Linked DNA regions of Cricetulus griseus. Each later gene encodes a partner of the first gene's protein in a complex. Links are inferred from orthologs where the notes say so. Each region holds a gene or a part of one and is shown in the gene's direction. Other genes may lie near its edges. The genes, in order: Pold1, Pold4 and Pold2.

Region 1 (3,644 bases):
TGGCCAGGCCTTGCTTTAGAATTCACTGGCGAGACATGAGGGGGAGTGGAGGCTTGGAAGAAGGAAATGGGTGTTTGTTTTGGTGGGTGGCAAAGGCTGGGTGCTGTTGAAAGGACATGTGGGCTTTGTTCGTGCCAGCCACTGTTACCAGCTGCACACGAGAGGCAGCGGAGGTGTGGGATGCTGGTGTTTTGTGAGCTCCAGGGCAGGCCCTCCTGAGCCTGGCTCCAAGTGGAGACTCCCTGGCGCTCATCTGTTTGGGCCTTACCACAGTTTGGTCTGATCCTTCTTCAAGGGCCAGTTCTGTTGCAAGTGGGTCGTGGGTGATATACAAGGCATCTTCTGGGGGTTCATTTCAGCCCCAAATACGATATGCTGTACCATTTTCCTGCTCTCTGCATCTGTAGCAGTTTGGTAGTGAATAGGCAAAGCAGACCTTCCTACCCAGCTGCATGGAGACACTAGCCCTCATGTCCTGGGTGACTCTCGCTCAGCTCCACCTCCCCTGACTCCCTCTCTCTGCCAGTCTGTATTCCAACTTCTGAAGGCACCCCTGCTGGTTTTCAGAACCTTCCCACCGGGGCTTCCTTCTGCTCCCTCCCCAGGCACAGTCCTTGTGTCTACCTGTCACCAGTCTCTCAGTCTTCCCAGGGCTATAGCTCTCAACCTTGTCCCTGGTCTCCTTTATCCCTCTCAAGCAGTCTCTGCCCTCAGTGGCCCCAAGAATGCCATGGCTAGTCCCTGTCCATGTGGCCTAGTTCAGAGCTGACTGGCTGTCCCCTGGCCCTCTCCAGGTGGACCGCTTCCCTTTCCTGGGCCGTGTGACTGGTCTCCGCTCCAACATCCGAGACTCCTCCTTCCAGTCGAGGCAGGTGGGCCGGCGGGACAGTAAGGTGGTCAGCATGGTGGGTCGAGTTCAGATGGACATGCTGCAGGTATGCGGGGGACCCACCCACCTGACACTCTGCCTCAAGAGGCTCCACCCTGCCGCACCTCCCCGAGTGCCACAGCCTCCAGGTCCCCTCCTACACCTTTGAGGCTGTGCCTTGTGCCCCTGAGGTCCTTGCCCCGTCCCAACCTGCCCCGTCCCAACCTGCCCAGGTGCTGCTGCGGGAGCACAAGCTGCGCTCCTACACCCTGAATGCTGTCAGCTTCCACTTCCTGGGTGAGCAGAAGGAGGACGTGCAGCACAGCATCATCACCGACCTGCAGGTGCTACCATCCACCAAGACCTCCCAACCCCGCCTGCCCCCCCCGCCTGCCTCCCCCCTGCCCCCCGCCTGCCTCCCCTGCCCCCCCTGCCCCCGGCCTCCCCCCTGCCCCCGCCTGCCTCCCCCTGCCCCCCGCCTGCCTCCCCCTGCCCCCGCCTGCCTCCCCCCTGCCCCCCCCGCCTGCCCCCCTGCCCCGCCTGCCCCCCTGCCCCCCGCCTGCCCCCCCCTGCCTCCCCCCTGCCTCCCCCTGCCCCGCCCCTGCCCTCCCCCTGCCCCCGCCTGCCCCCCGCCTGCCTGCCTGCCTCCCCCCTGCCCCCCGCCTGCCTCCCCCTGCCCCCCCGCCTCCTCCCCTGCCCCCCGCCTCCCTGCCTGCTCCCCCTGCCCCCCGCCTGCCTCCCCCCTGCCTCCCCCCTGCCTCCCCCTGCCTCCCCCCCCCCGCCTGCCTCTCCCCCTGCCCCCCCGCCTGCCTCCCCCCTGCCCGAGCCCCTGACCTCACATGCCTGTCCTCAGAACGGGAATGAGCAGACACGCCGCCGCCTGGCCGTGTACTGCCTGAAGGACGCCTTCCTGCCACTTCGGCTGCTTGAGCGCCTTATGGTGCTGGTGAACAATGTAGAAATGGCGCGTGTCACGGGTGTGCCCCTTGGATACCTGCTCAGCCGGGGCCAACAGGTCAAGGTCGTGTCTCAGCTGCTGCGCCAGGTGGGTGGCTGAACCTCGTTGGCCACATCCACCATACATACATGCACACACCCTTCCTGGTACCTGGACACTCACCCCACCCCTTCTCCAGGCCATGCGCCAGGGGCTCCTGATGCCTGTGGTGAAGACTGAGGGCGGTGAGGACTACACGGGAGCCACTGTCATTGAGCCCCTTAAAGGGTGAGGACCCTGCTGGGCACGGTGGGGCACATGTGTCATCTCAGCACTCAGGGGGAGTTCAAGGCCTGCCTGACCTACTTAAGATCCTGTATCTAAAAAAAAAAAATTTAAAGGTAAGGGCCAAGGGTAGGGGCAGGATGGGGGTTTACTTCTCCAACCCTTCTTTAGGTACTATGACGTCCCCATTGCCACCCTGGATTTCTCCTCTCTGTACCCATCCATCATGATGGCCCATAATCTGTGCTACACCACACTGCTACGGCCCGGGGCTGCCCAGAAGTTGGGGTATGCTGCCTTCATCCAGGATGTTCCCCAAACCATCCTAAGCCCTGTTTTACATTTTGATAGATCAGGCCAAGAAGTGATGGTCCAGGGAAAGGAGACATGGGAGTTACGGACTTGACAGGCTGTGTGTGTGTGGGGGGGCTAATGGAGAGGCTGACCTGAGGGAGGCTGAAGCAGGGCCTGGGCGAAGCTGGGGAGAGCCAGGGAGGCCCAAAGCCCAGTCTCTTGTACCTCTGCCTTCCCCAGCCTTAAACCAGATGAGTTCATCAAGACACCCACTGGAGATGAGTTTGTGAAGTCATCTGTGCGGAAGGGCCTCCTGCCCCAGATCCTGGAGAATCTGCTGAGTGCCCGGAAGAGGTGGGCTCTGGAGCCCTGCCCTGCTTAGTGCTTAGATTCCCCTGTCGTGACCTAGTCCAGGTCTTCTATCTGTAGCTGTGTCTACATTAAATGAGGCTCCTTTCCGGACAGCACCCCTTTGCCTTCTGGGCCTACATTCTGAGCACACTCAGCTATGTTTGGCACCCTGACCAGTGTCTGTGCCTAGGTGCCTCCCTGAGACCCATGGTCCCCTTGAACAGCTTCCATCCTGCCTCCACCTAGGGCCAAGGCTGAGCTGGCTCAGGAGACAGACCCCTTGCGGCGGCAGGTCTTGGATGGACGGCAGCTAGCACTGAAAGTGAGTGCCAACTCTGTGTATGGCTTCACTGGTGCCCAGGTGGGCAAGCTGCCATGTTTGGAGATCTCTCAGGTAAGCCTTTGGGATGCTAATGAGTGGCTGGGTTACTGCTGGCCTGCATTTCGAGGTCAGTTCTGTCAGAGGGTGTCCTGGTATGGCAGGCATCCCAACTATCAGGCCAGCCTCTGCACTCTGACATACAGGGTCGTCGGGGACCAGAGTCCCTCTCCTTGGTACTCCTTGCTCATGGTGTAGCGGGACAGACTCTGGCCTCAGGTAGTGCTTACAGCACAAGTGGCTTCTAGGGCTCTGCCAATGGGTCACATGAGGTGGGCGCTCAGGATGCTGGGTCACTGGTGGGACACTCCAATTCCAGCAGCTACTCCTCTGTTCGCCTCTTCCACCTTCCTGTGAAGGGAAGCGGGGCAGGGCAGTGGGGGGGGGGGACGACACAGCCAGGATGGATTTGCTGGCACCTGTTAGCAAGCTCCAGGGTCCTCTGTCCCAAGTGTGAAGATCTTGGCCAGTACCAGCTGGGACAGGAATAGGAAAGGACTGTGCCCATTTTCATGTCTACCAATGTGGCA
Region 2 (3,531 bases), on another chromosome or scaffold:
TCCTGTACAGGTCTGACAACTGGATGCCCCTCTACCCTGCAAGCTTGGGATCTTCTGGAGCACAAGGAAGGCTAGTTACACAGTATCTGTTACTAAGAGCCCTGATCACAATTTACCTACACCCACTTGCAAAACTCTTTTGATGTCTATTTTGAATAAGGTTGTGGGAACTGCTTAGTACAGCTCTAGGCACATGGTAAGCCCAATATAAGGGAAAGGTTTATTGATGTTATTTTCTGTTATATACACATTTCTAAGAAACAGAGCATATCTGTCAGTTAAGAACTGGAGATCTAAGCTGGGCATTGGTGGCACACGCCTTTAATCCCAGCACTTGGGAGGCAAAGGCAGGTGGATCTCTGTGAGTTCGAGACCAACCTGGTCTACAACAGCTAGTTCCAGGACAACCTCCAAAGCAATACAGAGAAACCCTGTCTCGAAAAAAAAAAAAAAAAGAACTGGAGATCTATGCCAGGCAGTGGTGGCACACACCTTTAATCCCAGCACTCAGGAGGCAGAGGCAGAGGCAGGCAAATCTCTGTAAGGCAATTTCTGTGAGTTTGAGGCTAGCCTGGTCTACAAAGTGAGCTCCAGGACAGCCAGGGCTACACAGAGAAACCTTGCCTCAAAAACCAAAAGGGGGCAGCGGGGGAGAACTGGGGATCTGAACCCATAGGGAGTGGGGACTAGACTTCTGGCATCCTGCTTGGAATGGAATCTTCCTGACTAGCAAAGTGGACAGAGGCAGGCTGTCGGGCCTGACAGTGGACACAGCAACCGCATGCCTGGGCTGGGTGGACAGTGTCTCTGCCAGCGGACTGTGAGAAAGGAGCCTTCGGAGCCCATGGGCTTCTCCAGCCAGGTCTCTTGGGGCCGGTAGGAGCAGGGAAAAGGCCAGGATTAGTTCAAACTCTCTTTGGACCTAAAGATCTGATCCCACAACGCTCTGGGGCCAACCGGCAGGAGTAAAAGGTTCCAGCCGGGCTCAGGGGACTTACAAACTGGCCACGGGGATTAGTGAGGCTGAAAAGAACATTTGCCTAGGAAGGAAAAACGGGAAGTGAGAGGCTGAGGATAACTCTCTATATGTCCCTAGGGACCCAAGTGGACCAATGAGGGACCGGAGGAGGTGGTGAAGTCTGGGGCATCTTGACAGGTCCTTGGTTCCGCCTAAACCCTCCTCACTCGGACGCAGCAGCAGCTGCCCCACCCCCTGCCCTCTGACGACTGCCATTGGCTAAAATTAGGGTCCCGCCCCACAAAGGCCGCTTGCCATTTGCTTAGGCTCTGATGTTTGCGTGCTTGTGGGGGCGGAAGACAGGCGTCATTCTCTGGAACCTAGGGACTTCCTCTCTCTGCTTGTCTGGGTCAACTTGTCTGTCCATCGCTGGCCCATCTCTCTCTGGCCCTCTCTCACACTCTCAGCAGCTGTCTTTCACAGGCCCACTGCCCTGCCTTTTCTTTCCCGCTATTGCCTCCTGCTCCGCCTGCCTGGGTGGCCGCCATGGGCCGGAAGCGGTTCATCACTGACTCCTACCCTGTTGTGAAGAAGAGGGAGGGGCCCCCTGGGCACAGCAAGAGGGAGCTGGCACCAGAGCTAGGTCTCTGAAATGTGGGGGTGGCAGAAAGAGTGGGTATGCAAGTATGCAAGGACCAGAAAGGGGAGGGGGGAGAGGAGAGAGAGAGAGAGAGAGAGAGAGAGAGAGAGAGAGAGAGAGAGAGAGAGAGAGAGAGAGAGAGAGAGAGAGAGAGAGAGAGAAGCTAGTATGTCTCATACTTCTGATGAGCTGTCTGGCTGCTGGATGGCAAAGGCAAATGAGTGAAGATACAGCCAGTGGCACAGCTGTGTCCAGGGTAGGGCAAAGGCCTGGATGGGCCTGAGGAGCTGCATGTTATTGCAGGAGAAGACACCCAGTCCCTCAGCCAGGAGGAAGCACAGCTGGAGCTGCTGAGGCAGTTTGACCTGGCCTGGCAGTATGGGCCTTGCACAGGTGAGAACCCCACCTCCAGCCCACCAGGCACATCTCTGAACCAGTTCTGTCATCGATGTGTTTCAGAAATAATCCAAGTGCCTGCCTAACACTGTCTCCTGAGACTGGCATGTGTGGAGGCCTCTAGCCTGGACTCTTCTGCCCTGCTGAGTCTTCTTTCCACCCTGGCAGGTATCACACGGATGCAGCGCTGGCATCGGGCAGAGCAGATGGGCTTGAAGCCCCCTCTAGAGGTGCACCAGGTGCTGAAGACACACTCTGAAGACCCCCGCTTCCAATTCAGGTCAGGACAGCTTTCAGGGAACCAGGCCCTTCTCTAGGAGTTGCCACTCTCTGGTCTGCATAGGGGCTTCCTTGACTTGGAGAAATGGGCACAGACTTAAGGGGTCCTTCCTGACAAGTAAGAAGGGTCTTCTAGGTGCCTGGCTCAAGACAGACCCCTTTAATGATCCTTACCTCTAAGAGCTAATGGTGGTGCAAGAGTATATACAGGGCCCATGGGGCTATCTGAGTACTGGGGGTTCATCAAAGCCACAGAAGCACACACAATAGTTAAGAACTGCTGAAGATCCATCAAGGAATAGAACTGACTCTGCTCTGCACTCCTCCTCCTCCCCTGTCTCCCACAGCCTCTGGCATCTCTACCCACTCTGAGGTTCCACCCGGGTTGTTCTTCCCTTGACACCTCCTAGCCACCAAGAACTTCTGGACAGAATCCATGGCCAGTAGATGCTGCTCTGCTCATCTCAGCTCTGGAGAAACAGTTAGCAGGCTGACTGTGGAGGTCATCCTGATTCAGCCTCTTACCTGTCCAAGCAACAGGCTCCTGATGCTCCTGAGACCACACCTCCGGGGCCTAATCATGACCACCAGATGCTTGCCATACCCTCTCTGATGTAGTAAATCCAGCACAGCCTGACTCAAAGCCAGATGTCAGAAGAATCAAAGAGTTCACTAACGCTTACAATAAAGTACATTAAGCCTGAAATCCTGACCTTTAGTCCCTTAATATGACTCTGCTCTAGCTGGCAGTTCCCAAAAGGTAAGTAGGCAGGAGAGCCAGCTATAGGCTTTTGTGTTGTCTGTCCCCCCCCCCCCCGCCGCAAAGACATGGTTTCTCTGTGTAGCCCTGGCTGTCCTGGAACTCTCTGTGTAGACCAGGCTAGCCTTGAACTCAGAGATCTGCCTGCCCCTGCCTCCTGAGTGCTGGGATTAAAGGCTGTGTCACTATACCACCTGGCTTCCCTATCTGTCTTTCTAAGGCAGTCTTCTCATGAGCTGAGCAGCCTCTGGTGTCCCCTGGTGGTACTTAGAAAAGCACTCTGAGTCTCCTTCCCTGACCAGCCAGCAAAAAGCCTGTCTGAGGTGCCCAGCTTGTAAGCAACTATTATGTTCTGACACCATAGGTCTCCGTGGGTGTTACTACCACTGAAATATAGCAAAACAAACATGGAAATCAGTTATGTCATATGGTGTTCAGCATTAAGTAAAATTAGGGTGAGAGGTCTGTAGAGGGTCAGAGAATGCCCAGGTGATATTT
Region 3 (4,124 bases), on another chromosome or scaffold:
TATAACTCTGTTTCTAATTCCACTCAGTAGTTTCTTTGTCCATCAAATGGGACTTGTCCCTGGAATACAAGAATGTTTCACCCGATGTTGGTGGTGCACACCTTTAATCCCAGCACGTGGGAGGCAGAGACAGGCAAATCTCTGTGAGTTCGAGGCCAACCTGGTCTACTGAGTGAGTTCTAGGACAGCCCCCATAGCTACAGAAAAACCCTGTCTCAAAAAACCAAAAAAAAAAAAAAAATGTTTCAACATAGTATTTAAAAATGCCACAGACAACCTGCACCAGCAGGCCAACACCCCACACTCACCCCAACCTACATAGGAAACACTATTTGACAAAGTGAAATATTAAAAAAAACAAATTATTAAAATCATTATTAAAGCAGAAACAAGAGGCTGGGGAGGGGCTCAGTCAAGAGCACTAACCACTCTTTCAGAATGCTGGCGCTGGGCTCCAGCACCCACCGTTGAGTAGCTCACAGCACCTGTAACTCCAGCTCCAAGGGATCCCACACTCTTTTTGTACTCCTCTGAGGCCACGTGCATATACCCATACACAGACACACATGCATTGACACAATTAATTTTTTTTAAAAGCCACTAAAAACCAAAAACAGAACCAGGGTGTATTAGTGTGAATCCCAGATTCCGCTGGGTGATTGTTCTTTGCCTTGGTTTCCCTGCCTGTGAGATGGGAGACTAGCTCATGCTTCAAAGGGAATCTGAGAAGTGGGTGCAATGAGACCGGAGAATTCAGAATAGTGGCTATCTTGCACAGATTACTATGAGCTGCTTTGTTAGGACAGGCCTTCTGAAGCTGGAGCGAGTATCACAGCGTTGGACAGAGAGTTGGAGGAAAGCTTCATCCACCCAGGAGCCACCAGGTCACCAGAGCCAGGGAAGTGTGACATGACCCGGATTGAGAGGCTCAAAACGGCCCATGACACCCAACGTGCTCACACTGTGTAACCTAGCCGCAAACACTCGCATGCGCAGGAAATCTACGGGGGGGGGCACGTTGTCAGGGCAACCGGAGGCGTGGCTTCGCGGTCCCTCGGCCTCCAGAGGCGGGGCACATGAGGATTGGCCGGACGAGGCGTGCGGCGATGGGCGGGGCGGGGCGGGCGGCGATTGGCCGGATGCGGTGATGGGCGGGATGGGCGCGCGGAGATTGGCGGGATGCGGCGCGGCGCGGTGAGTGTGCTGCTGAGAGGGGTTAATGTGGGTGCTGGGCCAGGCTGGGGGCTCCCGGGGCCACGGGCTGGGGTCTCGATGGTGCTTCGGACTGCTGCGTAGGCCCGAGCTGGGGGCGCCTGCTGCGGGGCGGGTCGTCCGTCGCGTCTGGCTGCGGGCACCGTGTGGGCCGCTGCCCACCACTGCGTGTTCGGCTTACATTGAATTCACACGCGCCCTTTTGGCAAATTCGTTGAGTTCGCTTCCTACGCCAGAGCTGCACATTAAAGAAAGCAGAGCCAGCAAGAAGAATTTGAACTTTGTATTAGCTGTACCAAAAAAGTAAAATGAAAAGAAGGCTGTGTTCTAAACTTACTACATCCAGACTGTTGTCGTTTAACCTACGCATGAAAAATGTTTAACCAGCCGTTATTATTTACTGAAATCCTCCGTGCATCCCCGGAGCACATCTTAATTGGACTCGTTGTGGGACAATTGTGCAATACCTCCTTGAAGATAACAAAAACCGGCCTCCCTGGAACTTTGAGTGCATTTGGAGGAGGCAAAGTAAATGCTTGAGAGATGCAAACAATTGGAGTGGCAGATGTAGTAAATTAGGTGTGGGGAAGTGAGTTTTAAGGAAAGACTTGAAGGGGAAGATCCAGTGAACCTGTGGGGCACAGGAGAAGAGCCAACAGAGAGTAGACAGGCCTCTGCTGGAGCCCCTGCTGTGGAAAGGACACTTGGAAGGAGAAACAGGTGGGAGGGGAGGAACAAATCTTACAGGTAGTGTTAAGAACTTGAGGCTTTGTTTACTAAAATAGCAGCCATTGGAGAGTCTTGAGCAGAGCAGGGGCAGCTTTACGTTTTATTTTTATCACTAATTGTCTTATGGTTGGTGAGCACTCAGAAGTTAAGAGCACTGGCTGCTCTTCCAGCGATCCAGGTTCAATTCCTAGCATTCTCATGGCTGCTCACACCTGCCTGTAGTTCCAGTTCCAGGGGATCTGACACCCTCGGACAGACATGCATGCAGACAAAGCACCAATGCATATAAAATCAAAATTAAAAAAAAAATGCTGAGTAAGCCATGAGGAGCAAGTTAGTAAACAGCACCTCTCCATGGCTTCTGCATCAGCTCCTGACTCCAGGTTCCTGTTCTGTTTGAGTTTCTGTCCTGACCTCCCTCTGTAATGGACTGTGCTGTGGAAGTGTAAGCCAGATTATACTGTGGTAAGCTTCTTTGACGATGCTTGGCAGCATTCCCAGAAGTAAGGTAGTTTCCAAGGAAGTGAATGAAGGCAGATCAATAATTCTGTTGTGGGTATGCCGAATTTGAGACCCTGGTAACTGGGTAGAAATATGGAGGAGATGAACAGGGTTTGGCTCAAGCTCCAGGTTTTATCTGACTAAGGCTACAGGGTGCTGTCTCCAGACATATCTCGGTGCCCATCAGATGCAGTGTGGGCAGCTTGGTTGAGACACCAGGGGAGCTCCTGCTTCGGGTTCAAGTAGGAGTTGCAGGGGTGACTTTGTGTGTCTTTACAGTGATGCTCCTTAGCCTGGACACAGCGGCGTGGACAGAACAAGCCAGGAACGCTGCCATGTTCTCAGAGCAGGCAGCACAGAGGGCCCACACTCTGCTCTCCCCACCATCAGCCAGCAATGCCACCTTTGCCCGGGTGCCTGTGGCAACTTATACCAACTCCTCACAGCCTTTTCGACTGGGAGAGCGCAGCTTTAGCAGACAGTATGCTCATATTTATGCCACCCGCCTCATCCAGATGAGACCCTTCCTGGAGAGCCGGGCCCAGCAGCACTGGGGTAAGCTGCTTCTAACCTGTTAACACTTTCCAGTTACTGTGGAAACTTAGTGTTGTTAGCTCTCTGTTGCTTCTTAAGTTAATAATAATGAGGGTTAAATTAACCTGTGGGGTTAAAGTTAGGTTTGGCTCAGAGGCTGGTCTGAGGTAAGGACTGAGTTCTGGCAGTGGTAGCCGCTATTTCCTGTCCTCAGTGCAAGTTAGGCACCCTTCGCCCACTCTAGCTAGCTAGAGAGCAGGCCATGGCAGGCTGGGCACCAAAAGCCTTGGTCTTTGAGGGATGGACCACACCCAAGCCATAGCAGAGCCACAGGTACTTCTGTGTGGTGCTAGAGTTGCCTTCCTTCTGTGGAATCCGCTCCTCCGGGTGGAGCTCTGAGGAATGTTCTTGGCTGTTCCGGGGCATGAGTGTGGTTCTGGCCGAGCCTCCACTTCACCCTGCCTCCTCAGCAATTTGTTCTAGGGTTGGGTCTGTGCTGATGAATCCCTGGAACTTTCTGGAACTTGCATTCCTTCTTCCTACCCAGCTTGGCTTTCCACATCTTTCCTGCTGAGCATAAGGGACCTTCACTTGCGTTTTGGTTTGCCTCCTGGGGGCTTTGAATGAGCAAGGCTGCTGACTCCACAGGGAATAAAATGGACCGAGGTGGAGGGGACATCAAGTGGGAAATGTAAGGTATATTTTCAGAGGATGAAGCATTGGGTGGAGCAGGGGCTGACACATAAGAATCCAAGGTCTTAGTTGGATACAGTGGTGCACACCTTTAATCCCAGCACTTGGCAAGCAGAAGCAGGTGGGGGGTCTCTGAGTTTGAGGCCAGCTTGGTCTACAGAGTGAGTTTGAGGACAGCCAGGGCTATGTAGTGAGACACCATCTTGAAAAAAACAAAAGAATCTGAAGTCTTAGGACATGGTAATTGTCGGGATGTAGCATGTGACTGAGACGTAGGTAATGTGTTTCACAGTTGCTTCTTGTGGCCATGGTAATGAAGTGTTGTAAACAGGGGACTTAGGACAACATATATTTATTCTCCCATTGTTCTAAAGGCTTAAAGTCTGAAATTGGGTTTTCAGCAGGACTGGTGCCTTCTAGAGGCTTTAGAGTAGATCCTTCCAGTTTCTGGTGGC

The links.
Region 2: Pold1 (region 1) and Pold4 share a complex: the UniProt entries of both Homo sapiens proteins name them as parts of the tetrameric DNA polymerase delta complex. The link is inferred for Cricetulus griseus from reciprocal best matches to the Homo sapiens genes POLD1 and POLD4.
Region 3: Pold1 (region 1) and Pold2 share a complex: the UniProt entries of both Homo sapiens proteins name them as parts of the tetrameric DNA polymerase delta complex. The link is inferred for Cricetulus griseus from reciprocal best matches to the Homo sapiens genes POLD1 and POLD2.

The regions. Positions count from the first base shown.
Region 1 is NC_048599.1:153,410,780-153,414,423, reverse strand, and holds part of Pold1 (DNA polymerase delta catalytic subunit), read left to right. Parts: intron 1-794; coding exon 795-935; intron 936-1,101; coding exon 1,102-1,212; intron 1,213-1,721; coding exon 1,722-1,913; intron 1,914-2,004; coding exon 2,005-2,093; intron 2,094-2,261; coding exon 2,262-2,378; intron 2,379-2,624; coding exon 2,625-2,738; intron 2,739-2,981; coding exon 2,982-3,129; intron 3,130-3,644. UniProt on the Homo sapiens protein: As the catalytic component of the trimeric (Pol-delta3 complex) and tetrameric DNA polymerase delta complexes (Pol-delta4 complex), plays a crucial role in high fidelity genome replication, including in lagging strand synthesis, and repair.
Region 2 is NC_048596.1:55,018,258-55,021,788, reverse strand, and holds Pold4 (DNA polymerase delta subunit 4), read left to right. Parts: upstream 1-1,298; 5' UTR 1,299-1,504; coding exon 1,505-1,601; intron 1,602-1,901; coding exon 1,902-1,991; intron 1,992-2,162; coding exon 2,163-2,274; intron 2,275-2,620; coding exon of another isoform or gene 2,621-2,645; exon of another isoform or gene 2,646-2,683; coding exon 2,684-2,720; 3' UTR 2,721-2,985; downstream 2,986-3,531. UniProt on the Homo sapiens protein: As a component of the tetrameric DNA polymerase delta complex (Pol-delta4), plays a role in high fidelity genome replication and repair.
Region 3 is NW_023276807.1:98,956,700-98,960,823, forward strand, and holds the start of Pold2 (DNA polymerase delta subunit 2), read left to right. Parts: upstream 1-1,321; 5' UTR 1,322-1,739; coding exon 1,740-1,740; intron 1,741-1,781; exon of another isoform or gene 1,782-1,932; intron 1,933-2,345; exon of another isoform or gene 2,346-2,406; intron 2,407-2,721; coding exon 2,722-2,997; intron 2,998-4,124. UniProt on the Homo sapiens protein: Accessory component of both the DNA polymerase delta complex and the DNA polymerase zeta complex.